Linked DNA regions of Mus musculus: regions 2, 3 and 4 are each reported to be linked to region 1. The links are microRNA targets in miRTarBase. Many come from high-throughput screens and were not tested one by one. Region 1 holds a microRNA gene; each other region holds the end of a gene's coding sequence.

Evidence for each region. The annotated mature microRNA mmu-miR-155-5p reads UUAAUGCUAAUUGUGAUAGGGGU and lies in region 1 at 3,041-3,063, opposite strand. An mRNA with a match to its seed (bases 2 to 7 or 8) in the 3' UTR can be bound and repressed. Matches are read on the target gene's strand: a 7mer-m8 pairs with bases 2 to 8, a 7mer-A1 pairs with bases 2 to 7 and ends in A, and an 8mer does both.
Region 2: the mRNA of Fos is a reported target of mmu-miR-155-5p. The part of its 3' UTR that is shown has no 7-base or 8-base seed match.
Region 3: miRTarBase lists Arid4a as a target of mmu-miR-155-5p. Seed matches in the 3' UTR shown: 7mer-m8 at 980-986 and 7mer-m8 at 2,172-2,178.
Region 4: miRTarBase lists Il6ra as a target of mmu-miR-155-5p. Seed matches in the 3' UTR shown: 7mer-m8 at 2,876-2,882.

Annotation. Positions count from the first base shown.
Region 1 is chr16:84,710,084-84,717,205 of GRCm38, reverse strand. Mir155 (microRNA 155) reads right to left here and starts at 3,066; the gene lies at 3,002-3,066. Mir155hg (Mir155 host gene (non-protein coding)) reads right to left here and starts at 4,183. Exons shown (of 2, transcript NR_132106.1): 1 at 4,113-4,183; 2 at 1,961-3,153.
Region 2 is chr12:85,475,994-85,483,115 of GRCm38, forward strand. Fos (FBJ osteosarcoma oncogene) reads left to right here. Exons shown (of 4, transcript NM_010234.3): 4 at 1-1,281. The coding sequence ends at 465. Among named protein-coding and RNA genes, the nearest start is that of Fos, 5.7 kb to the left of the region's middle.
Region 3 is chr12:71,096,992-71,104,113 of GRCm38, forward strand. Arid4a (AT rich interactive domain 4A (RBP1-like)) reads left to right here. Exons shown (of 24, transcript NM_001081195.1): 24 at 510-2,360. The coding sequence ends at 613. Among named protein-coding and RNA genes, the nearest start is that of Tomm20l, 11 kb to the right of the region's middle.
Region 4 is chr3:89,865,300-89,872,421 of GRCm38, reverse strand. It overlaps Il6ra (interleukin 6 receptor, alpha), which reads left to right. Exons shown (of 10, transcript NM_001310676.1): 10 at 1,036-3,098. The coding sequence ends at 1,261. It overlaps Gm46811 (a long non-coding RNA gene), which reads right to left and starts at 317. Exons shown (of 3, transcript XR_001783918.2): 1 at 1-317.

The DNA of each region.
Region 1 (7,122 bases):
TATTTATTTAATTTCCTTCGTTCGCGTGTTTTTCCCACTTGTATTTTACTTCAAGTTTCCCCATTCTTTCATGCCCTGACCATTTATTCTCAGGAAATGACTGTTATGCCACAGTTTCTATGTGTGCCTCAGTCTGTCCCAGCTTTCTCTCCTGTCCTACCTCTGCTACTAGGTTTATTTAGCTGATGAGAGCGAGCAAGAAAAGCTGGGTTTCCTTTTCTAATTATTTCCTAGTTAGTTTCTTTACAAAAAATCTTTTTCTAATTACTTATACATCCCGACTAGAACTTCCTCTCCTCCCAGTCCTTTCTCCCACCTCATCCACTCTGTTTCTCTTCAGAAAAGGGGAGGCCTCCCATGGATATCAACCAGCCCTAGCATAAAAAGTTGCAGTTAAGGCTAGGCACATCTTCTCTCGTTGAGGCTAGACAAGGCAGCCCATTAGGCAGCCTGAAAGGGTCCCACAGGCAGGCAACAGTCAGAGGCAGCCCCTGCTCTCACTGTTAGAAGTCCCACATGAAGACCAGGAAAAACTTGTTTTCTAACTCTCAGCCAATGGCTTCAGGGGCTGGTCTGTGCCCAGGTCATCCTATGTAATTCAGTGCTTCATTCCCTTTAGTCTTCTGTGCACGAAATTGGGCTGCCCTTCCTTTACTCACACACACACACACACACACACACACACACACACACACACACACACAAACTTCCTCATTACTTACTCTCCACTCCAAACACACCCAGCCTTAACTCATACTCCAAGAATTTTTGGAATGACTGGAAATGTTGGTCAGGAATAATCCATCTGTGATGCCAAGAGGTCAGCTAGTAGAGTTGGGCATCCGGGAAGACCCAGCCTGCTGGCCACGTCTGGGTTGTGTGGGTGGTTAGGGTGGGATGATAGCTGAGGAGGTGGCGTGTTCCAGGGACGCCTGCTGCGTCGATTTAGATTATGGACTTATACATGTTTCAAGGTTTGTATGTATTCATCACTTAAATGCTGGTAGAAAGTGTGTTCCCTCTTGTGGTATTTCATCTAAGCCTTAATAAAATTACATCACAGAGATACACACACTGATGGAGAAACAGACATGGAGCAAGTGATTTGCCTAAGCATGCAGTAGGTGTTACAGTGCTTTATGATTTCAGAGCTTTTGATTGGAACTGCTGGAGGGTAATGTAGAGAACGCAGCGGGTTCCTAGCTTTCTGTGACTTTGTGGTTGTAGGCAGCAAAAAGGATTTTGAAGAATTGAGACTCGGTACAAGGACTCCTGAAGCTCCATCCAAGGGTTGAGAGGAGGAATTTATGTCGGCAGCGTACTCGGCAGAAGGCAGTGGGGCAGTGGGGGTGGCGTGCCCTGTCTGTGTCATGGCAGGCAGGGGCATTCCTCTCACTGTCCTTGTGACTTATTCCATTGTTGTCTTTTTTGTGTGTCTTCTGAAATCACAGTCTGTACTTTGCAAAAGAAAGGGTCATCACAAACAAAAAGTATTCTAAGCCAACTAAAGACTCAAAGACATTTATTTGGCTATAGGGAAGACAATGACAAGATATTCAGGAGAACTATCAGAACAGGTATAAATTAGGGCTGGTGAGATGGCTCAGTGGGTAAGAGCACCCGACTGCTCTTCCGAAGGTCCAGAGTTCAAATCCCAGCAACCACATGGTGGCTCACAACCATCCGTAACAAGATCTGACTCCCTCTTCTGGTGTGTCTGAAGACAGCTACAGTGTACTTACATATATACATAAATATATATATACATATATATACATAAATAAAAAGTCTTTAAAAAAAAAAAAAAAGAACAGGTATAAATTAAATATAACAAGTCCAGCTGTCTATGTGTTCGTCAGTGATATCACTGTGGAGAAAAATTGCATAGGAATTCAAACATTAAACTTCTGTATATCAAATTATTACCTATGTCAGGCAACGGGGTGAGTTTTGGATTGGCTTTAAGACATCACTGTGGGATTTTATTACCTTACAAAGAGTTGTTCATCTCCAGTGAGCTGCACACCAACCTTGTAAAGTTTCATCCGCATTCATGAAGAAATGCGTAGGAAACGTGGGTCTCCTTACTACACAGCTTTACTGTGCAGCTAAAGCAGTAAGCTTGAACCCAGATTTGGGTTTCATTTCAAATGTGAATATTTGAAATTAAATATTAATTAAATTAAATATTTATACCGTGTGAGGAATATATAGGTAGCCCTCAGGAATGATTTGTCATGTCACTTTTTAATACTTCATCTTATTTTCTTAATTTTTTGATAAGGCATTTTTCTGTGTAGCTAAGGCTGTCCTGGAGCTCACTCTGTAGACCAGGTTGGCCTTCGACTCAGCCATCTGCCTGTCTCTGCCTCCCGAGTGCTGGGATTAAAGGAGTAAACTACCAACAGCTGGCTCATAGATTTTAAAAAAATCATTCAGTGTTGACTCAGTTTTTCCTTACCTAGCCCTAAACTCTAACACTAACCCTAAATTTTTCCTTACACTAAAACACAAGAGTTACAAATTTTAAATCAAAGTTGACTAATACATTGTAATGTGGAAAAAATGCCAATTCCAAGTCTTACAAGAGGTATTCCAGACAATCCTAGATGTCAGTCGAGAATGGCCGTCCTGAATTTTAACTACAGAAATATAGAAATGTCCTTTTTAGTGCATTCATTTTGTATTCTGGTTGAATCATTGAAGATGGTTATGAACATAATTTTGAAATAAAAATGATACAAGTTTCACTTTCCATTCAAGATAAAAAATAAACATGTGGGCTTGAAGTTGAGATGTTGTTTAGGATACTGCTGATCTATCTTTTAAATGACATTTATCGTAACACTTACAGTGGACTATCCTAGTAACCAGGTTATGACTAGCACATTAAATGATAGAGTCTGACATCTACGTTCATCCAGCAGGGTGACTCTTGGACTTGTCATCCTCCCACGGTGGCCATTTGTTCCATGTGAGTGCTAGTAACAGGCCTTGTGTCCTGTTAATGCTAACAGGTAGGAGTCAGTCAGAGGCCAAAACCCCTATCACAATTAGCATTAACAGCATACAGCCTTCAGCAAGCCTCCAGCAGCCAGAGGATAAGGGATATGCAACTTAAACCACACACTTCCCCTTCCTGGTTTGCAGCACCTGCAAAGAGAAAAAGAAATAGTTGTGTGTACGCACACAGTTAGTTATAAAGTAGAGTGAACGATTATGAATCTGAAGGCAAGGTAGACTTCAGCTTTGAAAGAAAAGAGCTCTGAAATGCTTCTAAGTAAATTTTGGAAAATTTTTGTAAGGTTTGCAATTTAAAAACTAATTATAAAATCAAACTTTAAATTCTGTGGAAATATTTGAATACATGTATCATTTTTAACACAGCCACGGTTCATAGTTCTACAATGCTGAAGTTCAAAGGACACAACTTCAGTTCTGGGTAATATTCTGACGTACATCCCACAGGTCACTAGGCAATTCAAGAAATCTCAGATATTTAGGATGGTACTTTATGATTTTTGAAAGTTAAAACTCAATGGATGAACCCATTTTGATTCTATAAATAGTAGTTGCGATTTTCACCTTATTCGTTTTTCTTTTTCTTCAAGATAGGGGGTACAGCCAGGGCAGGTCTGCCCTGAAAGGTATCTGAAAATGCTCCTGTTGTCCTCCAGTGATTCCTTTGGGGACTCACAAACCGGTGGCTTCAGTTTGACCCATGTAAAGGAAGTGCGCCTTAAAGAGCTCTGACTCAAGGGACTTGTCTCCAGCAGAGTGGTTTAGAAAAAGAAAAAAGATGAATTTGCTGTTTCCTGTTAGAGTTGGATTTTACTCTCTCAGATAAAGTGACATTTCTCCCACAAGTTTCTGGTTTCAGTGTTACTGTACGCGAACCTAGAAGTTCAAGCATCACTCAAGTCTGTGGTTCCCTTTAGGACCAGAGGGGAACCACCTTTTCTTTTCTTTAATAATGAAACCAGCTAGATGTAGAAATGTGATTAAGTTCAAAAGAAATGCATCAAGTTAAAAATTCCCCAGTGAATATATTTTGACAGGGCAGAATATCGTGGCTTGGAAATTTCCAAACCAAGGAAATATATCATACTTACTGATAGTATTTCTTTTTTAAACTTTGCTGTTTTCTCAGATGAGCTGGTTTCATGAGGAAAGTCTGTGAATTACACAGTTTCAATCTTGGATTTTATTTCAGCCAAAAGAAAGACTGTAATAATACCTTTTCTCTTCATAGTGCATTGAACTCAGTAAGTCCTCAGTAAATCTATTAAGATTCTAGTGTTCTACTTCATGCCATATTATTGACCCATTAGGGAGAATATATGCAACTGTGCATGTGTGCATGAGTGCCTACATAACCCCATTCCAATTTAAGTAAATAACTTATCTATAAGTTCTGTTTCTATCCTTTAAAGATACCATCTGAATAAAGGTATTACCAAGAATATATTTAGTATAGGTAGCCAAGGTTGCCCTATATAACCTAGGCTGGCCTTGAACTCATGACCTTACACTTCAGTCTCCCAAATTCTGGAATTATAGCCATATACCACCACATCTGGCTATATATATATAGCCATATATACATATATATGTATAGCCATATATACATATATATGTATATTACATATATACATACATGTGTGCACACATACACACCTATCTATCTATCTATCTATCTATCTATCTATCTATCTATCTATCTATCTATCTATCATCTATCTACATGAAAAGCCTAGGTTTGATTCCCAAGTACCACATACATGGACACTGGTGCAGCCTTTGATCTCAGGACTTGAGAGATGGACTTAGGAGGATCATGAGCTCAGGGCTGTTCCCAATTACTTATCACCTCTGGGGTCAGCTTGGGCTATATTGGACCCCGTCTCAATAAATAATAAAATATAATGTTAGGAATTGCTATTGCAATCAACTCTTTTGACCTTAGGTAAAAATCTCGACCAACCTTAAGCACTATATTTAGTTCAGACAAATCGTAAGTCCAGGTCCCATTCACTATGTGGCATATCACCATTTCTCTGTGGTATAGCCTAAACCTAAGGACATTCCAGGAGAATATAATTAGACTTTTCTTCAGGATAATATTTTGAGGTATAAGGGAGGCATAGAATGTCACAATCTGTCTAGTCTTGCTGATTTGCCAGGGAAAATGTTATCAGCTAAGGTACTCAGAGAAGAATATGTCCTATACTGGATCTTTTTATTTTTAGTAATTTTTTTGTGGTAACACACACACACACATGTATCTCACACATATAACACACACACACAGACACACACATACAGAGTAGGGTAGATGAACTTTTGGAGCTGTAAGAAAGGGCATCATATTCATACTCATCTTCAACTTTCATCATATACATATACACACATATATCTACATACATACATACATACATACATACATACATACACACATATACATACATACATACATACATACATACATACATACATACATACATACACACACATATACATACATACAAACAAACTTTGCCACTGTAACCAGTTTTAAGTTTCTGATTGAGTTATCAAAGACATCTGCATTCATTCCCACCTTTTCTCTCAAATGACTCCATTTGTTTTATGAGGGTCTCACTTTATGTTAAAATCATGAGTTGTAGGCCAAGTGTGGTGGCACACACCCTTAATCTTAGCACTCAAAAAGCAGAGGCAGTAAGGTTTCTGGGAGTTCCAGGCTACTCTGGTTTATATAGGGAGAGACTGTATTTCAAACAAACATACGTACAAGCAAACAAGCAAGAAAATCATGAATTAGATCCTCCTACAATTATATATATATGTATATACATGTGTATATATCTATGTGCTTATTTTTTTGTCTGGCTTATTCTTAGCACCAACCATTCGAGAGTTATCAAAGAAACTGCATGATGAAATATTTTCTTTATAGGAAGCCAGTGGTTGTATTTTTCACCAATACCATGTGGGACAGCCCTAGCTATTCACTTTGACATATACAAATTTTTGGAAACTGTTCCTTTGAGGTTCTGAAGTGAATGAATATCCACTTCTTTGGAAAAGCATGATTGTGTATTGATAGAGTAACACAAATTCTAGTTTTAAAGCCACTAGGTGAAAAGAAGGTCATATTTTGGACAATTAAAATGGTTTAATTCAGATGAGTTTATCTAATTTATCATCTAACAATCTATGTATCTATGTGTCTATGTGTCTGTCTATCTATCTATCTATCTATCTATCTATCTATCTATCTATCTATCTGTATCTATGTATCTATCTATGTATCTATGTATCTATCTATGTATCTATGTATCTATGTATCTATGTATCTATGTATCTATGTATCTATCTATCTATGTATCTATCTATGTATCTATCTATCTATCTATCTATCTATCTATCTATCTATCTATCTATCTATCTCTATCATCTATTAACTTGAAAAACATACTAATAGAGATAGAATTCATAGTTGAATCCTATGTGGATTACTAAAATCAATTGCATATCATTGCATTTACAAATCATCTGGATTTCCCACCAGAATTTACCCTGAACCTGCGTTTCTAAAGCTATGTTCTGGACTAGACCAGGGAAGTAGGGAGCGAAGGTTAAAGCAGCCGAGTAAAACATGAAGACACGGGGAAGCTCTGCACGAGTCATAGTTAACAAGGCTTTGGTTGCCTTTTGACCTAAGATGAAAGTTGAAGATGACTGTGAACACCATGCCCTTTCTTATAGCTCCTAAAGTTCTTCATCTGCTCTAGCCTGGCTTCTGTTCTCAGTCCGGAGTCTCTGACCATCAGAACCAATTCCTCCAGGGTGAGACAGGCTTCAGGGTGGAAGTTCCTACAGTGCAATGAGGAAGGAGGGGTGGGGTGGGGTTTAAGTCCTCAGTTAATTTGCACTTAATCGGTTAGTTAGCTAGTCATTGTGCAGAACAGAGGCGGAGGAGAAAGGACCCAGGTCTTGGTAGACAGCTTTTAATTGGATGAAGAAAGACTTGGACAAAAGTGACTGAGCATCTCCAGTCATTTTACATCCAACACAAAATAGTCACAGATGGAGCGGTTTGAGTGGTTTTAACCAAGCTTT
Region 2 (7,122 bases), not on the chromosome of region 1:
CTGCCTGAGGCTTCCACCCCAGAGTCTGAGGAGGCCTTCACCCTGCCCCTTCTCAACGACCCTGAGCCCAAGCCATCCTTGGAGCCAGTCAAGAGCATCAGCAACGTGGAGCTGAAGGCAGAACCCTTTGATGACTTCTTGTTTCCGGCATCATCTAGGCCCAGTGGCTCAGAGACCTCCCGCTCTGTGCCAGATGTGGACCTGTCCGGTTCCTTCTATGCAGCAGACTGGGAGCCTCTGCACAGCAATTCCTTGGGGATGGGGCCCATGGTCACAGAGCTGGAGCCCCTGTGTACTCCCGTGGTCACCTGTACTCCGGGCTGCACTACTTACACGTCTTCCTTTGTCTTCACCTACCCTGAAGCTGACTCCTTCCCAAGCTGTGCCGCTGCCCACCGAAAGGGCAGCAGCAGCAACGAGCCCTCCTCCGACTCCCTGAGCTCACCCACGCTGCTGGCCCTGTGAGCAGTCAGAGAAGGCAAGGCAGCCGGCATCCAGACGTGCCACTGCCCGAGCTGGTGCATTACAGAGAGGAGAAACACGTCTTCCCTCGAAGGTTCCCGTCGACCTAGGGAGGACCTTACCTGTTCGTGAAACACACCAGGCTGTGGGCCTCAAGGACTTGCAAGCATCCACATCTGGCCTCCAGTCCTCACCTCTTCCAGAGATGTAGCAAAAACAAAACAAAACAAAACAAAAAACCGCATGGAGTGTGTTGTTCCTAGTGACACCTGAGAGCTGGTAGTTAGTAGAGCATGTGAGTCAAGGCCTGGTCTGTGTCTCTTTTCTCTTTCTCCTTAGTTTTCTCATAGCACTAACTAATCTGTTGGGTTCATTATTGGAATTAACCTGGTGCTGGATTGTATCTAGTGCAGCTGATTTTAACAATACCTACTGTGTTCCTGGCAATAGCGTGTTCCAATTAGAAACGACCAATATTAAACTAAGAAAAGATAGGACTTTATTTTCCAGTAGATAGAAATCAATAGCTATATCCATGTACTGTAGTCCTTCAGCGTCAATGTTCATTGTCATGTTACTGATCATGCATTGTCGAGGTGGTCTGAATGTTCTGACATTAACAGTTTTCCATGAAAACGTTTTTATTGTGTTTTCAATTTATTTATTAAGATGGATTCTCAGATATTTATATTTTTATTTTATTTTTTTCTACCCTGAGGTCTTTCGACATGTGGAAAGTGAATTTGAATGAAAAATTTTAAGCATTGTTTGCTTATTGTTCCAAGACATTGTCAATAAAAGCATTTAAGTTGAATGCGACCACCTTCTTGCTCTCTTTATTCTCAGTTTTGTATGGTTTCAGGAAGGCCTCTGAGGAGACCAGTTTGTCAAGATGGGTGGGTCCTGGAGGGGAACACGCCCTCTGTCCCCTTATCACTCAGAGGACACGCTAGTTCAGGGTATTTTACAGAGATGTGTGTTCATATTGCATTGCCTGCCTTGGGGCTGAAGGCTGCCTGTAACAGCTTGTGCAAGGATGTGCTTTTCTGCATGCTTATCTTCGCCTTAGTGATTTTCATGGGAAAGGAATCCTTTGAACAGAGCCTAGCTCTACACAAACTTTTTTGTTGTTGTTGTTTTGTGAACTGAAGAAGAGTTGAAATAAGCGACCTTCCACACTGCAAACCAGATCGCCACTTCCCCCTCCTGTCCATTATTAGGCTGAACTGCCTCTTTAAAAAAAAAGTATATATATATATATATATATATATATATACACACACATATATATATATAACTAAAATATGTATTTATTTATGTGGGGAGGGCATTCATGTACTTGAGGTCATGCACTTGAGGTCATGGGACAACTTCCAGACTTTTTCTCAAGAACACGACCTTTGGGAATTGAACTCAGGTTAGCAGGCACCTAGACCCACCAAGCAGCCAATCTTGCCAGTCCCCCTCCCCCTTTAAAGATGTATTTATTTCTATTTTCTGTGTAAGGGTGTTTCGCTGGCATGTGTGTCTATGCACCAGGTGCATATGCAGTGTCCATAGAGGCCAGAAGAGGGCAAGGGATCCTGTGGGACTGGAGTTCTGAGACAATGGCAGCTACCCAAGCAAGCACCAGGAATCTAAATCTGGGCTCTCTGCAAGTCTAACAACTGCTTTTAACTGCTCATCCGTCTTCCTAGCCCTCCTGAACTACCTTCCACACCTTAGCCTTAAAAGGTTTCCCTTGGTTAAAACACACACACACACACACACACACACACACACACACACACACGAGTGCGCGCACATGCACGCAAACAAATTTTCAATTGTTTGTTTACTTTTAAGATGGGTCTAACTTAGCCTAGTCTGACCTCAAACTTGCTATGTAGCTGAGGCTGGCCCTGTATTCCTGATCTTTCTGTTTATATCTCCCAAGTGCTGGCTTTACAGGTATGCACCGTCATTCGGTTCCTTACTCAAACATATGTTCATTTAGTCAACCCTTTTTATTCTCCAAAGAGAGCAGGCTATCTATTATCCTGTGCCACCATGAAAAACAAATCCCAACTTCCGAAGCTACTTTAACACTTGGGTGTAATTCACAGTACAGTAGGGGAAAAGGAATGGACATTTAAATTATCTTGAGCAGCATAAATAATGGCTGATCAACCAGTCTGTAAATAAGAAGTTACATAATAGCTCAGTAGGGAAGGGTCAGAAGACTTCGGGTGAGCTTAGCTTAGAAAGTTTATCATCTCAAAGAAGAACATGACCTTTGCCTGGGACACCTCAGGTAATGACTGCTGCTCTCTCTCTTGCTTACATGCAAACCAAAAGGAAAGAAAAATGAGCCACTCCCTACCCTTGCTCTCTGGTACCTAAAAACCATAGACTGTTTCCACGCATGCTGGGTGGAAGGGGAGCCTTCAGGTCATTAGTGGTAATGACAATCACGCTGTGGTCACAGTGGGCCTCGTACTCTGTCGAGCTGTGTTTCAATTTCAAACGACAGTTCCATTACACGTGAGCTGTTAACCTATGATCTACCTGCTCCTACCACAGTGATTGACACTTCCAAGCAATTTACCCAAGTCTCTCTAGAACGTTCTTTACAGCACATTCCACTTGCACACACTGCTTTGGCCAGTCCTGAGTTATGGAGAGGCCTTGTTGGTACACCAATAATCCCAGAGCTGAGGAGAGAGGCTTGAGTTCTGGGCTACACTGTGAGATCCTATATAAATTAAATGAAATGTAAAAAAAAAACAAAAAAAAACCAAAACCCAAAAACCTTTAGAATTAATGTAACATTTACAAGGACTCGGTGAGCTCTTTTAAATGTGTGGTGGTAATGAGCTGAGAGGAATGTTCCAGATTGGAAAGAACAGCAAGGAAAGCAGCTTGCCCCTCCCCCCACTCCCGGGGGCCTCCCTAATGGCCCTGGCAGTTGTAAACTAGCTGTGGAAGAAGAGCATCCCCTTTTCTTTGACAGGTCTGACACAAAGCCTTTCTCCAGGTCACCACAGCCCAGGCCATGGTCCATCCACAGGCAAACACTGAAACTCTAGGAAGACAGAATCTCTGAAAGGTTTCTCCAAGTTCCTGGGATTCCCCCGAAGGACTAACACCTTCTGAGCTCCCTGCCAGCTACTTCCGTGGTCTAGAGTATCTTCCCTGTCTGGCCAAAGGACTCCTTCCAAATCCCCCCTTACCAGGGACTCTGGATTTAAAAATTCCTGAGGAAGACTGGCACTAGGAATGTCACCTTTCTTTTGGGGACACTTCCATCCCTTCTCAGAAGACAAAGCCTCAAACTAGTTTCAGGGGAACAATTACCTGCCTGGCTTCAGCGTCACTAACATTGATACAAGTCCTGACCATACAACAGAAAGGGCTAAAGACCAGGGACCATTTCCCTTAGGGACCATGTCAAGCCTGACCCGCCAATGGACTCTAAGACCCAGTTCAGAGCTATAGTACAGGATTAACAAACATTTTGCTCAGTGGGTGAATGAATAAGTTCCAAACTCTTTCTACGATCAGAAACTGGTCTGTGTATGTTCTGTAGTTTCTGTTCCAGTCCCCCTTTCCGATGTTAGGCAATAGGAATGTTACATCTTTTACCTCTGGCTGCAGACACACAGGCCACTTCTGTCCTTCATTCCTGGAATTCCTTCATTGCCTCCCCTGGGTTCCATCTGCCATTTCAGCAAAGCGAATGACTGACTGTGCAATGACTGAAATTAATTTCAGATACTAGAAGAAAAAATACTCATCTTTGCAGAACAGTGGATAACAGGCTCCCAACACCTTTGCATACCCCTAGAGCTCATGCGATTATCAAAACTAGAGAGGAGTACTTTGTGCTCTATTTAAACCAATCATGTTCTGTTTAATTAGTCTCAGGCACAGTAAAAACGCTAAGATGGTTACCTTAAGCAAATGATCCCAAGTTTCAATGTGTCTGAAGTAAAAGAAGAAACAAAAGCAAAAGCAACCTTTAAACTGTGCACACGTTTCCTCTGAAGCAGTCCCTCGGAGGGCAAGGGATAGAGTGGCATCTGGATAGAGTGGCATCTGGATAGAGTGGCATCTGGATAGAGTGGCATCTGGATAGAGTGGCATCTGGATAGAGTGACATCTGAATGCTGAACAGTGCTCATGCTTTAAATCGTGCTGGCTTTCTGTTAACATTAAGAAGTTGACCCTTGATTCTTCTGGTGCCCTCAAGTCCCCATAAACACACAGGGCATGGGACTCCCTTGCATTCTGCACACATCTAGTACTCATTCCTTGAAGAGGGTGTTTGTTTGTTTGTTTGTTTGTATTGTGCTGATAAGCCTCTACCTGGGCCTCTTTGCCCAAACTGGCAAAGACATCCAGGTCCCAGCTCAAAGCAAGTCTCCTTCTAGACACCTTCCCTGGCCACTCTATCTAGGGTGTCTTCTGGGCACACTCCCTGAATGACGTTTTCCTGATTGGATCTCATAGCATTCATTTCTCGCTAGCTGCGACATCCAATCTTGGTTTTCTTTCACTTAAAATAATAAATGTCTCGTCCCATGAGAACAATGATCTTTTGTATCTTGATCACAACCGTGTCTCTCAGGGTTGTTGACTGAGTGCAAATAGATGAATGAATGAACACAGATGACAATTATGAAAGTGTCGTAAGAGAGCCAGACCTTAGAAGGGAATATTAACCTCAAAGATGTCTCCAAGGGTAGAAGACCATGGCCCTTTATTAAATACAAACTCCAGGCTGGAGAGGTAGCTCAGCTGTTAGCACCTGCCATTCCTCCAGAGGACCCAAATTCAGTTCCTAGAATCCATGATGAGTGGCTTATAACTGCCTACCACTCCTGCTATGGGGGAGGGAGAGCCAACATCCCTGGCTTTGGTGGGCTCCATCACTCACTCATGCATACACATACATCTAAGTGAAAAGTAAAATAAATAAAATGTAAGCAACAACAAACGGCAAGCTCTCCAGACGTCTCAGTAGACGAGGGAGCCTGATGACCCGAGTCCATCCCTGGAGATCCTGTGAAGGTGGAAGGAAAGAATCGATGCCACAGAGTTGTCCTCTGACCCCTGACATTTGTGCACCCACACTCGTTTTAAAGAAATTCATGTTGCTCTAAGGATGGCTATTCACACCTACAGTTCCAACACTGGGGAGACTAAAGCAAGAACGTTGCCATGAATTTGAGGATAGCATAGTCTACAGAGTGAATTCTAAGCCAGCCTGGGCTACAGAGTAAGACCCTGTTTTGTTTGTTTTTGCTTTGTTTTTAAACAAGACAAACAAATAATCAAAATGTATTCACCTTGGTACAAAACACTCAGAGTCTAATACAAGTCTGTTTTGAGTTCATTCAGTGTGCAACCTTTAATTTAGTCTGCATTAGAATGGAAGGAAGAGTAAGGGTTACCTAGTTCCCATTATCCATATCACTATCGTTAGCCAAGAGAAGGTCCACACCTGCTGTAGATAAGATGTACTAGATGCTGGTGAATGACTTTGGTCTCTGGAAGGAGCCAGTTGGGTAGGTTTCCCTTGTCTTTGCAAGCAGGAAAAAGCAACAGAAATCTAAACCAGTTTAGTTGCAATACAATCCATTTCAATGGTTCCACAGACCCACTCATGGACTAAGCTGAAATGCATTTCCTTTGTCCAAAACACATTGTCCTGTTACTCAAGAGGACGAAAGTAGAAAGTGTTCTGGCTACTGTCCCAAGCAGGCTGCCTAGTCTGGTCATTAGCTTTCCCCCACAATCCCTAACTTTCAGCCCTGGTGTTTGGGTTTGGTTAAAGCAAATGATTAGAAGTCTGGGGACCCACAGGTGTCTAATTGTTGGTTATGTTAGAAACTCTTTGTTCTAGAACCAGGCCCAGAGGCTACAGGGATGTAGTGGTATTGGGCTTGCTAGCCTGTGTGAGGCCCTGGGTTGGCTCCATAACACTATGAAATGAACAAATATTAGCAGGAGGCCTGTGTGGAAAGGACCTAGTTTAAAAGGCCTGGGACAAAAAGCAACTTTATCCTGACTGTTAGTGGCCCAGGGTCTACTTGCCATGTTTATTTAGGGGAGAAATTAACTGGGTTAACCGATCATATGACAGGTAAATTTATCAAGACAATGTGATAACGTAGTCTGGATCCAATATTGCAAAGTGTTCCAGAATATAGACTTAGTTCTGAATCCTGGCTCCTCGACCTTAGGCAAATCAAGCAGTCTGTACTCAGCTTCCTCAGTGGTAAAATGGAGATGGTAATTGTGGGTGGCTATTGAGACTGCTATGGGCACTCAGAGAAGCAAATCAGTATTACAGCTCCTAAGTGTGAAAAATATGGTAGAATAGTTGGCTGTTATTATGCCTTTTGGGAGATGACGGTCAGTCAGAGAAGCACATAGGGATTGCATTATATAGGATAACCAGTTGGAGGTAAGCAGAGGGGAGGGTGGGGAATCTAACATTTACATCAATATCGAAGCATCAAAAGTGAAGGAAGTTAAAGGTAGGGCAAGAATAGATAACTGTGGCCAGATTGCTCCGAGCCTGGTATTTAATTTAGATCAGTCTGTTTGAAGACTTAGTTACAGCAGTGGTGGCAGGAATGGAGAGGAACAAGTGGTAATTAGGAGGAAGACGTC
Region 3 (7,122 bases), not on the chromosome of region 1:
CTACTCTTGCCCCTACCTGACACCAGACTTCATCTCTCTTTTAATCCTTACTTTTTGTGATGTCTGACTTTGTTTAGTTTTTCATTTTGGTTGCAGTGCTGGGAGTGGAATCCAGGGCCTGTGCATAGCACCCTGGCTCCTGCGCTGCCCGCTGCCTCCCAACCTTGTGATATCTCTTCTGTAGGGTTAATTCCCTTAATTGGCCCAAAGGTGAGCCCAGCAGAGTGCTTGCTGACAACTTGCACCCCTTGTGCATCGTTTAATCGGCCCTTGATTGAAGTGAATGATGCTAAACATCTAGTTACAGCCTGTAATCCCAACACTTGTGGAGTAGAGGCGAGAAAATCAGAAATTAAGGTCATCCTTGGCTACATATCAAGTTTGAACTAACCTAGGCAATGTGAGACTGTCGCAGAAACAAACAACAAATCTTCCTTAGAATTTAGCATCTAACTTTAGGTATCTGAGTAGTCATTTCTTGCTCTAACCTGGTTGTGTTGATTCCACAGTGTCTCACGCAGGAGCGTCAATGTCCTCTGCTTCATCAGACACTGGAATGAGCCCTTCTTCATCGTCTCCCCCCCAAAATGTACTTGCTGTAGAGTGCAGGTGATGAACAGTTCTCCACCCCACAGCAGTTTGCTGCCATGGACATAAATCCCCAAACCCTGAAATACAACCACAGAAAGCACTCAGCCGGCTAAGTATATCCTTCCTGTATAGTTTCCAGGATTGTATCTAGACCCTCCTCTCTCCTTTTTTTATTGTTGCAGAAAATAAGCTTATTAATAATTGAAGGTTAGGCAGCCTGCCATATTGGTCATAATTTTTCCTCTGTATTTTCTTTCTTTCTTTCTTTTTTTTTTTGTGTGTGTGTGTGTGATAGAGAAAAAAAAGGGCACTTAGCAAAATGGAATTTGTATAATAAAGCTTTCAAGTGTTCTAGAAATCATAGACAAGCGCACACAACAGACAGGAGAGCATTATCTGGTTAGCAGTTACTGCTGCACTTTCACTGAGATGCATTGAACACTTGGTGAGTAGGGGGTTGATTTTGTTTTATTCTTGTATTATTATAATTATTATAATAATTATTATTAATGTTGATTTTTTATTCATTTCAATTTTGTGGAAGCACTTGCTATGTAGAACTGCCAAAGTATATGTGCAGCAGTGTGCCCAGGTTTAAAAGTGTAAATGGGACAAAATAAATTGTGAAAGGAAGTGTAGTTGACTGAAAACTGCAGTTGTAATAAGTCTTCCACTTTTTATAGGACTTTTGAGCACACAATTATGCAAATATTTTAATGTTTATTAATGTTTACAGTGGAATTGTGAATAAGTTTTCAGTGGACTATCTTATCCCTTGACAAAAATATTTTGTCTTTTTTCTATGTAATTTCAGAGTTTTTATTTTGTTACAAAAATACAAAAATGAAATATATAACAACAATGAAGTTATTTAACAAGATTTCTAAAGCTGAAAATTTTGTGTAAAATAAGGTATTATCTTGCAACTTGTTAAATATATTTATTCAGACATTGGATGGTTGTATTTTTATGTATTTTTTAAAATATTAATAAAATTGAAAAAAAGACAATTCTAGGTTAATTCACTCTTTGGATGGCAGTAGTGGTCAGCTGCCCCTTTTGCAGGGGGCTGTGTCTGCAGCCGCGGGTGCTGCAGGGCGTCTGTCTCAACCTTCCCAACCGAGCAGCTGAGAGTGGGCATCTGGGTCACTCAAGTCTGTCCTTGTTTAGAAACTTTGGCAGTCCTCGTATTTAAACCACTTTGAGGATCACATTTTTGGTTGCCCTTAAGATGCTTTGTCACAGTTTTTGTGTTCGCTGTACTGCCGAATAAATTTTATATCTCCCAAAGTCAAGATGCAACAGTCACGTAAAGCCACTATGTATTCTTTGTCTGTGAATTGTTACACAGACTGATACATTTGTAAATAATTCTTCCAAAATCATGTATTTAAAGCAGTTTTGCATATACATTATGTTAAAAAAAAGGTGATTTTTTTAAAAAGCATTTTTAAACTCATGTTTGTACATTAAAGGGGTTGTTTTGAAGCCTCCTTTTCTGTGTTTATATGCTGTAGTGTGGTAGCCCGGGGGGTTTTGACCCTGAGGGCGGACAGAGGCACAGCACATTGCTACAGCAGAGCATTACCGAAATTATATTTCTCCACGTCATCTTGCCACATTGTGAACCTGGGATTCAGACTTCTTCCATTTTCTCAGAGAATTAAAACAAAAAAGTACTCTTGTAATATGAACTTTCCTGTCTTTTCTTTGCAAACAGAAGTATCTCAATGTCAAATAAAAAGGAGCCCAGTGGGCGTGTCTTAAACATAGGCTATACAGTTTTAGTTTTCTTTTTTTTTTTTTTTAGATTTATTTATTTATTATATGTAAGTACACTGTAGCTGTCCTCAGACACTCCAGAAGAGGGAGTCAGATCTCATTACGGATGGTTGTGAACCACCATGTGGTTGCTGGGATTTGAACTCCTGAGCTTCGGAAGAGCAGTCGGGTGCTCTTACCCACTGAGCCATCTCACCAGCCCCCTAGTTTTCTTTTAAGTGACTATTTTTTCCAAATGCCAGTAACTTATAGTTGGAAAATTAGGTTCTACAAAACTAGGCATTTCAGTATGTCTTAGTCAGGGTTTCTATTCCTGCACAAACATAATGACTAAGAAACAAGTTGGGGAGGAAAGGGTTTATTCAGCTTACACTTCCATACTGCTGTTCATCACCAAGGGAAGTCACGACTGGAACTCAAGCAGGTCAGGAAGCAGGAGCTGATGCAGAGGCCATGGAGGGGTGTTCTTTACTGGCTTGCTATGTATGTTCAAACTTCTCTTCATAAGACTTAACCAGAGAACAAAGTCTCTGCTGGGCTTTTTTGAAACTTCCTTTTTCAACGCAATTAATCTGAGTCTCTTCACCTTAGTCTCAGGCAGACTTTTCAGACAAGGGCAAAAAGTAGCCACATTCTTCACCAAAATACCACAAAAACAGTCTTTATGCCACATACTGAAATTCTTCTCCTTTGAAATCTCTTGGGCCAGGTCAACACAGTTCAAATTACTCCCAGCAACAAAGTCTTCCATATTCCTACTAGGATGACCCATTAAGCCCCATTTAAAGCATTCTACTGAGTTCCAAATCCAAAGTCCAAAAATCCACATTCTTTCAAATAAAAGCATGGTCAGGCCTATCACAGCAATACCCCACTCCCAGTACCAACTTCATGAAGACTTGGAACTCTCAGCTGCTCCTGCACCATGCCTGCCTGGATGCTGCCCTGCTCCCACTTTGATGGTAATGGACTGAACCTTTGAATCTGTAAGCCAGCCCCAATTAAATGTTGTTTTTTTATAAGACTTGCCTTGGTCATGATGTCTGTTCACAGCAGTAAAACCCTAACTAAGACACAATACATTCTTCAATTTTCAAAATACTTCTAGTACTTAATTATAAAAATGAAAAATTTGTCACCCAAAGCTAGGAAGCAATATTAGCTATGTTAGTGATCTTTTTCAGTAGCAATTTGGTAAATCTGAGATAACTTACTAGTTTGGATGTACCTACAGAAGACAAAATTATATATTCACTCACCACAGATATAGATACTATCTATACCATTTTATTAGGACACTAGGAAAAAATGTGAAATTGAGTGTTGACTAAGCATTACAGTTCAAATGTTGGGTTTATTTTGAGTTTACCTAAACTTCGAGCAGATTATTACATATTGCATATGACAAAGTAAAAGTATAAAAGATACTATATAAAAAAGGAATGTACTATCTATACAGTCAAGGTATTCAAAAATTATATAGCTTTCTGTGTTGGTATTCCTTTATGTGCTTTTACTGTTTATTCTTTTTATCAAATTTCCAGTCTTTCATTTAGAAAGAGAGCAAGCACATTTTAAAAGACTATTACTTATGACATCTATAAAATTGACTTAAGTCTGGAAAGCTATATGAATTTGCTTCTGTACTTTTTCTTGTAGGTCTAATTTAGCATACCTATCAAACATTCAGTGTTATATATAACATCATGCAAAAACTCTTAGCAGAACTGATTCATTAGCAGTTTATGGAATATCTTCTATGTATCAGACATTATATTGTGATACCAAGACTCGGCCACTTGAGCCAGCAAGACAAAAAGGTTTCTGTCTTCATGGAATAAGATCAAGTATGGTTGATATGGGGCTGGCGAGATGGCTCAGTGGGTAAGAGCACTGACGGCTCTTCCTGAGTTCTTTTGCTGATTTTTGAGTTCAAATCCCAGCAACATGGTGGCTCACCACCACCCGGTAATGAGATCTGACGCCCTCTTCTGGTGTGTCTGAAGACACCTCAGTGTACTTATGTATAATAATAAATAAATCTTTGGGCCAGAGGGAGCAGGGACTGACAAGCGGAGTTGGCCAGAGTGAGCAGAGGTCCTAAATTCAATTCCCAAAAACTACATGAAGGCTCAAAACCATCTGTACAGCTACAGTGTACTCACATGCATAAAATAAATAAATAAATCTTTGAAAAAGAAAAAGGATGATAGACATGAAACAATTACCCCTTTTAATTAAAATAATTAAATTTTCTTTGGCTTCTTGAAGCAAGGTCCCGTGAAGAGGTCAGTCTGATTTTGAAATGATTGTGGTAGATGCTGACTTTGATTTCTGACTCTCTTGTTCCTACCTCTCAAATGCTAGGATGATAAGCATGCTCTATTGGACCTGGCTAAACCTATGTAATTCCTCCCTCCCTCTCTTTTTCTTTTTCTTTTTTTTTTCTTTAAAAACAAAAACAAAAACAAAAAAAACTCTGGGTTTTGAGATGGGGTCTCATTCTAGCCCAAGCTAGTCTAAAACTTACTACATAGCCCAGGATGGCCTCGTTCCTCAGCCCAGCCCAGCCCACCACATGCTAGGTCTGCAGGTACCATAAGTATATGAAGTCACAGTTGCCATGACATCCTAACATGGACAACAACTAGTCCTGAGACTGGAATAGTCTGGGAAGGCTTTGAAGAGAAAATATTGGTTAAATTGGGTCCCAGTGAGGCAGGCGAATAGGCCGAGGAGGTGGGAAAAGCGATGCTGATAACACGGTGTCCTAAGCAGGTGAGAGAGGAAGGAGGCATGAGGAGAGCTGTGTCAGGCTCTCACACACTGCTCCTGCCTTGTGCCTCTCACCTTGCTTCTTGCCCCATGTCCCCTCTGCCCTGCTCCTGATGCTTGAGCTGCCTTAGCCACTTTGCCAGGATGCATCTTTTGCTGACTTTTGAGCCCACACAACATCACCTCTTCCACATCTGATGGCTTTCCAGTCTCTTCTGTTTTACCTCACAGCTCACCCCGTGTGTGTGTGTGTGTGTGTGTGTGTGTGTGTGTGTGTGTGTGTAGTCACTTCCCTCAGTGTTCCTTGGTCATAGGTGTACCTCATGGTCCTAGCCCAACCTCTAAAACAGAGTTGTCAAAGTTACTAGTTAAGTCAAATCTAAGAAAATTTTTATACAACTACTTTTTAAAAAAAGTATTGAGGGGGCTGGTGAGATGGCTCAGCAGGTAAGAGCACCCGACTGCTCTTCCAAAGGTTCTGAGTTCAAATCAGTTCAAATCCCAGCAACCACATGGTGGCTCACAACCATCCTTAATGAGATCTGACTCCCTCTTCTGGTGTGTCTGAAGACAGCTACAGTGTACTTACATATAATAAATAAATAAATAAATAATTTTTTTTTGGTTTTTCGAGACGGTTTCTCTGTATAGCCCTGGCTGTCCTGGAACTCACTTTGTAGACCAGGCTGGCCTCGAACTCAGAAATCTGCCTGCCTCTGCCTCCCGAGTGCTGGGATTAAAGGCGTGCGCCACCACGTCTGGCTTAATAAAAATCTTTAAAAAAAAAAAAAGTATTGATCTTTATATAAAAAACCAGACATGTAAGATCTTCAGGGCTTTTTTTTTTTAACATGATAGTGTTGAGATATCAACTCCGTAGTATGAATGAAGCTAGACTTGCGTCATGACCTAATTGCCAATTAAAATGCCCCCACTGGTGAGTTGCTTTCCCATCTCCTTAGTTGTCCTCCCCACGCCCCACCCCCGTCATTTTCATGCAGCTGCGTAACAAGGCTTCCTCCACTCCAGGAGGACAGCATGGAATTCCCGTGTCAGGGTTGATCGGCTCGGGATGAAGTTCCCACTGGTAAGAAATTTCCAACAGGTTGGGCAGTGGTAGCGCACACCTTTAATCCCAGCACTCGGGAGGCAGAGGTAGGGGGATTTCTGACTTCGAGGCTAGCCTGGTCTACAGAGTGAGTTCCAGGACAGCCAGGGCTATACAGAGAAACCCTGTCTCAGAAAAAAAAAGAAAAAGAAATTCCCAACAGATCCATGCTTCGTGCTTTAGCACAGTACAGTTTGTTCTGGTGTTTAACTCCCAAGATGGGGTCTTCTGTGTCGTTCCAGGCTGGCCTTCTGAGCCTGGGGACTCATGCATGTCCTTCGCCTCAGCTTTTTTTTTTTTCTTCAAATTCTAATAATATTTTTGATGATGACAAGCACAAGATACTTCTCACCCACAGAGAGCCACTATGCATCTTTTAAAACCAAATTAAGAACAGCATCTATAATTTTGATATTTGCAGTTAACAGAATTATGAAGCGATGTTCAGTTTGTACTCTGTATCATGCAAAATTCATTTAGAAAAGCTCTGTTGTGAAGCTTAAGGACATTTGTGTATATAATAAATGGCCGTAGGTATAAGTAGTTGGCTTTCTTCTTAAATTACATCCAACAAGATAATCTAAGATTCTTATCTGCTAAGAGTTGCCAGAGAAGGGCTGGAGAGATGGCTCAGCAGTTAAGAGCACCAACTGCTCTTCCGAAGGTCCTGAGTTCAAATCCCAGCAACCACATGATGGCTCACAACCATCTGTGATGAGATCTGATGCCCTCTTCTGGGGTGTCTGAGACAGCTACAGTGTACTTTCATATAATAAATAAATAAATCTAAAAAGAGGCTGCTGGAATGTCAGCAGGTATAGGTGCTTGTCACTATGCCTGATGTCCTGAGTCCAATGCCTTGTAGC
Region 4 (7,122 bases), not on the chromosome of region 1:
GGCGATGCCTATCTCTTCCGGCTTACCACTGACTTTCCTGTCAGATGAGTCAACACGTGCCCAGTGGTGCCCCTGTCAGAGGGTGCAGTCTCTCCCTGCTGGGGTGGGGTGGGTGGAGGTGTCTGGAGACTGAGGTACTGAATATAGAGGGCTGGATAGAGTGCTACTAGGGACCACACAGCCTGTTCTCTGCTCTCCATTGCAGGCTGTGAGAGTGATCTGCTCCTGACAGCCTTTGTTGGACGGAGTTCCATATTCCTTCCCCACTGAAAGAATACTCTCCTCTTTTTAAAAAATATTTACTTATTTAATGTATATGAGTATGCTGTAGCTGTCTTCAGACACACCAGAAGAGGACATCAGATCCCATTACAAATGGTTGGGAGCCACCATGTGGATGCTGGGAATTGATGCTGGGAATTGAACTCAGGACCTCTAGAAGAGCAGTCAGTGTTCTTAACAGCTGAGCCATCTCTGCCACCTACCTCCTTTTTCTTTTTTCTTTTTTTTTTGGTTTTTCGAGACAGGGTTTCTCTGTGTAGCCCTGGCTGTCCTGGAACTCACTCTGTAGACCAGGCTGGCCTTGAACTCAGAAATCCGCCTGCCTCTGCTTCCCAAATGCTGGGACTAAAGGCGTGCACCACCACGCCCAGCTTTTTTTTTTTTTTTTTTAAACGTGAATGGATAGAGACCTGATAATGTGAGCCCAACAGACAGCCTCTGGCCCTGGGCAGATTGAGGATGTGTCAGGTGACTTTTGAAGTGCATAAAGGAACACTTCAGATTTCTCTCCCTTTGTAAGTTAGATATGGTCTTGAGGTAGTTTTGAAACTCACCAGCTCTTCAGGGTGTTGTGGGACCTCTGGGGATGATGTGGGAGCCAGATAGTCGGCATTTCTGTAAGCCAAACCTAGACACACCTAACCAACTGAGGCAGGCGGCTGCTGCTGCTGCTGCAGATAGGGTTTCTCACCATGCCTTTGGCCTGGGAGGAGTCTAAGGCCTGTTTGTTTGTTTCTCTGTGTTTGTATAAAGACTCAAGCAGAAATGGAAGTCAGAGGCTGAGAAGGAAAGCAAGACGACCTCTCCTCCACCCCCACCGTATTCCTTGGGCCCACTGAAGCCGACCTTCCTTCTGGTTCCTCTCCTCACCCCACACAGCTCTGGGTCTGACAATACCGTAAACCACAGCTGCCTGGGTGTCAGGGACGCACAGAGCCCTTATGACAACAGCAACAGAGACTACTTATTCCCCAGATAATCATCTGGATGGTACCTGGCAGCTGGCAGGGCACCACGAGATCAGCACACAAGTTTCTCATGCGGGTCCCATCCACCTGGGGTGGGGTGGGGCGGGCGGGGCTGCAGCTTCACTAACCCACAAGAGCTCTGCACAGGTTCTGAGTAGGTGCAGCTGGTGCTGCATAGGCTCTGAAGGAAGGAAGGGGCTGTGAGGAACACAGGCCATTGTGAAGACAGCTTGTGATGACTGAATAGAGATGCCCGTCAGCTCCACATCTGATAGTGGCTCACAAGCTGCACCCTCAGGAGGCCTCAGAAAGGGGCTCCAAAGGCTGCCCCAGCTGCCTCGCTCTGCCTCACTGCCCCAAGCCACCTTTTAGCTCTCGAACTCCTAAAGTCCAAGCACTTTGCCATTCTCTTTCCGAGGCCACTGAGGCCGGGTGGAAGCTTGGTTCCGATTTCCTTCTCAACATCTGGAAAGCAGCTGGGCCCGGTGGTGGTGACTAATATCTCAGGGCCTGATGGTTTACGCGAGTGACAATTTCTCACAAGCAGTTTTTAAATGTGAATGATGACCCCAGGCACTGCTGGCTGCGGAGGCTTCATTTTCCTCTTCGATCTCAGGACTTCAGGCGAAAAGCGGAGTGGAAGTAGAGAGCGGATGGGTGTCCACCGTCCTCATGGTACTTGCGGGAGGTACAGCCTGGAAAACACGTTTCCTGTCCCCCTACTCTCCCAGGAGAGGGATGATGGTAGGGGGTGCCTCTTCCAGGGCGGAGAGAACTACTTTACCCCAGCCTTGCCCATTCTGATTTCAACTGGACTGGAGCTACTAGGAAAGTCGACATTCATGCAAAAAGAAAAAACGTTAACTAGCAAGAATGCACTTTCATTTTGGTTTTTAGAGAACTGTTGCCTGTTTCTCTCAAGAGTCTGGAAGAGGCCGCTCACTGCACACTACTGTATGAACCCTCACTGCCCACCCTGGAGGACCAAGTGCAGTAACGGTAGCCCAAACACCAAGTCAAGTGAAAATCGAGGGAAAAAAAAAACAAACAAGCAACAAAAAAAAAAAACCAAAACTAAACTAAAAAACAAATCACCCCCCCAAAAAAAAACAAAACCAAAAACCAAAAAAAACAAAAAAACAAAACAACAACAACAAAAAAAACCCAAACCAACCCGCTGTTTCCTATAACAGAAAAGCCTTTGGTTTCATTTTTTATTTTGATTTTTTTGTCTTAAAAAGTATAAAAATAGCCTGTCCATGCTCTGCTTCAGGGAATGAGCCTGTGAACACTCCCAGGCGCAGGCAGGAAGGGTGTCTGCTTCCTGCTACACCTCACTGCCACCTTGGCCTTCCTTGCTTTACGTTTGACTGAGTGGCCTCAGATGCTTTCCCCTGGGGCTTTGAGGAATCCAGTGATGTTAGTGGTCACCGAGGAGACCACAGAGCCACAGTGTGGTGCTTAGATTAAAGTGACTTCTGCAACCACAGCACCCCACACCTGCCGTCTTACTGAACTATGCCAGTAACTTGCCTTTTCTGCCACCACCACGAGACGAGACGGGCAGAGCTCGGAAGCTGTCACCCCATGCCCTCTGCTTGTCCGCTCTAGGGGCCACTGACCTAAGCATTAGTTATTTTATTTTATTTTATTTTTTTGTGGGTTTTGTACATTTTAGGTCCTGTTGCTGTCTTAGAAAAGGCTCTGTAGGTTGACAGAAAATCAGGCCAAGTATTCATGTTTTGTTTTTTTTTTTTTTCCTTCTTTCCTCCTTTGCTAAGTTTTTGGGACTCAAGGGTAGCAAAACTGCTGTGAAAGGGAAATTTATTAAAAATGTTACAGATCGTGATCTTCAGGGGATCGGCGACTGTGCTCACTCACAGTTCTTCAGTCCCTCACAGGGCTCTGCTGTTACCCAAGCCAGGCAGAGCAGGCAGACGGAAGACTGAAATCCAGATAGCTCATTATCTCTGTGAGTTAAATGGCTTTGATCTCCAAGTTGTTTTCACTATTGTTGTAAGGGGATAGCCTCCCCCCAACCCGTATCAAAAGGATGCTTTTTCCTTTTGACTTTTTATAAGCTAAGTCAACAAAGTCTGTTTCGTCCGGTTTCGTTCACTTCACACAGGTGTATGCCCTCAGCTGCTTCTGGTCTCAATTCTGTGCAAGCTGAATAGGTGTTCCATCCTCGGGTCATTCTTACTGGAGTTTCTGCAGCCCACAGGCTGCCTTGTCAACAGTACCACTTAACACCAGCATTCAGCGACCAGGCAGCCAAATGCCTGGTCTAGACAGAGATGATTTAAACATGATCTTTGTTGCATGGTAGAAAGAGGGAACACATACTGGTTCTAGTTCTAAGGTTCTTAGATGTTTGGTCCTTCTGGCATTAGTGAAATAGCTTTAAACTATTTCAAGGGAGAAGCCTTGGCCACACCCACGACATTTGGCCGACAGTCCTTTCTCTCCATGAGCCTTGCCTTCCCACCTGGCTGAAAGCTCACACTGAATCTTTCCTGTGTCCTTGGTGTCTTGGGAGAAAGGGAACCCCGGTGTGGGCTTTACTGCCGGCATTGGCTTGGAGCCAGCGTGGAGCAGAGCCCAACAGGGTGGGCCAGGCTTAGTTATGGTGTGCCGGTTTAAGGAATGCCTGGTTTGCCTGGTTGCCTGGGCTCCGAGCTAGAGTTTCCTAGTAGTTCTTTATGGCTGACCTAGTTGGGAAAGACTCCCATACTCAGCTTCAGGTAGAGGTGGTGAGAAACCTTTTCCTTTGTAGAGGCAGCATCATCCCAAGAGCCTACAGTGAGGTGAGGTGGGAGGGGCAGGCGCTGGGGAGGGTCTGCCAAAGTGGGAGGGGGCAGGCCAGCTGGGGAGGGTCTGCCAAAGTGGGAGGGGGCAGGCCAGCTGGGGAGGGTCTGCCAAAGTGGGAGGGGGCAGGCCAGCTGGGGAGGGTCTGCCAAAGTGGGAGGGGGCAGGCCAGCTGGGGAGGGTCTGCCAAAGTGGGAGGGGGCAGGCCAGCTGGGGAGGGTCTGCCAAAGTGGGAGGGGCAGGCGCTGGGGAGGGTCTGCCAAAGTGGGAGGGGGCAGGCCAGCTGGGGAGGGTCTGCCAAAATGGGAGGGGGCAGGCCAGCTGGGGAGGGTCTGCCAAAGTGGGAGGGACAGGCGCTGGGGAGGGTCTGCCAAAGTGGGAGGGGGCAGGCCAGCTGGGGAGGGTCTGCCAAAGTGGGAGGGGGCAGGCCAGCTGGGGAGGGTCCTGGGGCTGGCGCTGGGGAGGGTCTGCCAAAGGTCTCTCCAGCCTCTGCTGCTAGTGTAGTTGGGTGCCAGTTCCAGGAAGTTTCTATGGCAACCTTAATGCGCCTTAAGGAACACTGTCAGGTTTGTGAACATATGCTCAGATGGAGATCTTGTTTCCAGGGAAAGGACTGGTACAGTGTGTAGCAAGCTGGAATGGACAGAGAGACTTTGGCAAGAGATCATATCCGTTAAAAACAGGATACCTCAATGCTACATGTTTTTATCTTTGAGACAATATTTTTAAGGTTTTTACGCTCTGTCCCCTGTGAGCTGATACCTAAGACCTAAGTCAGTGCTTTTTTAATGCCTTTTTGCCCTCTTGTTTGCTTTAAAGTGAAATTTGTAACTGTTTGGAATAAATAATTTCTAAAGTTGCACGTGAGATGTTCTTCTGCTTTGGGAACCTGGTCATTAAAAGGAAAACCTTCCTTCCATGATGAGCGAGGAGTAAAGAATGAGGAAGGCTAACTAACTAATTAAATAGGACTGTCTCTGAGGGCACAGCGGCTCAGTCCTCTAACCCGGCTCGACACTAGGAAGGCAGAGGCGGGAGGATTTCTCCAAGTTTGAGGCTAGTGAGGCCTTGTATGTCACTTATACTGCCCTCACAGACAGACAGACAGGCAGACACACACACACACACACACACACACACACACACACACACTAAACCTGGGACTAGCAATTTCTCAAAAGGTTTTAGTTAGTAAACATTCTCCCCAAACCAAGGCCTGGGATTTCTGGAAGGAAATCAGAGGCTCATGTGTCTGTCACGTTTGCATTGTTCAGCATTACCAGATAGAGGCATGTTAGAAAAGTGAAGGAAGGCCCACTACTTAGGTGTGTACTGGACTATGGAGGTGAGAATGGGATCCTGAGAGCCATCCCGAGCTTTCTTGGTCATCAGATGGCTGAGTCTGTCCTCCACTGAAAAAGATCTTGGGCAAGAAAAACTTGGGACCCAGCCTTCTCTATGTCCCAAACAGAAGGAAACCCATCATGTGGATGCTTTGCAGGTAAGAGTAGGGGTGGCTGCTGAGGGCCAGCCTCAGCTTGGTTTGGGTTCTGAGAGAAGGGGTGTCTGGGAGCAGTACAAACAAATAACTTGAAGTCTAATCGTGGGTCCAAGCTGGCTCTGTGGTTGAGACAGCTAATTTTCTGCTAGCTGAGAGAGACCATTCTCTCTGCTAGTAAACATACTTCCTACAAGCTCTCTGGATAGCTCGTGGGTTTTCTGACCAAAGTCAGAAAAGCTGCTATATATATATAAAAAAAAACCTCTTGGATATTCTAACCAAATCAGAAACCCTGTTTGAAAATTTCTAAAATTAATTCTTGGATTTTCCAATCAAAATCAGAAAGAAAAAAAAAAATCTCAAAGAGCCGTGCGCGCTCTTCAGACAACCTTCTCTGAATAGCTTCTGGAAAACATTGTAAAAGAGCGACGTCGGCTCTCTAAGTAACTCTTAGTGGTCAGAAATCCCATTAGAAAAAAATTCTAAAAAGCTGAGTTTGCTCTCCATGACTTTCCAGACTAAAATCAGGAATCCTGTTAGAAAAAAAAAACCTAGAAGAGCTATGTTCCCTCTCCAGAGATCTTCAGACAGCTCAGCTCTCCTTGGTAGAGAAAAATTCTAAGAACCATTATTGCTTTTTGCCAGCTCATCTCATGCAGCCCAAAAGCCTAGCTTTTTATTTACATATCAATTCAGTCATTTATTCCAGGTTCCCTCTTGACCACCCCGGGGAATCCACACTCCAGGACCTTAGCCCCTTGACTCACAGGAAAGGGATAGCAAGTCCATTTTTCCCCCTCTTTTATTAACATTGCAGAAGAATTCAGAGATCTGCCTGCCTCTGTAAACATAGCTGGGTGGGACCTTGTCCTGAGAGTACCATCTCCCACCACTCTTGGACCTAAATTTGCTCTGACCCAGGCTGACCTTGAACTCAAGAATCTGCCTGCATTTGTATCTGCCTGTCTTTGCGTCTCTCTGGCAAGCCGGCTCACAGTGCAGCCGCCTCTGCTCCTTCACATCTGTGAAGCTCCTTATACAATTCATACTGCATTTTATATTTTTGCATAGCTGAGAAATTATACATTTCTGAACATGTCTTTAGAGTTCTTGTCCTGAAGATCCCAGTGTTTAGCATTTTGCTGAGACATTAGTCACACCTTCCTATCCTGGACTCACGGTGTCTCTGATTATCATGAAATCATTAACGTTAACAGGGAGGACATTCCTTGGAGGAACATGAAAATATGTTCATTATTATACAAACAAGCCTTACTCCCACAGCAGCCGTCAACTCTCGTGGAGGCCCACGCCTGCTGGCCCTGTTCCAGGGGCAGGAACCATGTCGTTTTGTCTCTATCAAGGCCATGCCACAGCTGGTGGCAAGAAGTGTGCAAAGGCCCCCAACTCAGATGAAGCTGGGGTTGGGTGGCACCCACTGCCCTTCACTTGGACCCCTGTTCCCGAAGCACAGCTGTTCTTCTCCACCCCAAGGCAGGTGCTGTTTCCTTAGTATGAGCTCTGGTCCCATAGCTGTTGGTGACCTTGATGCCCCTTTCTGCA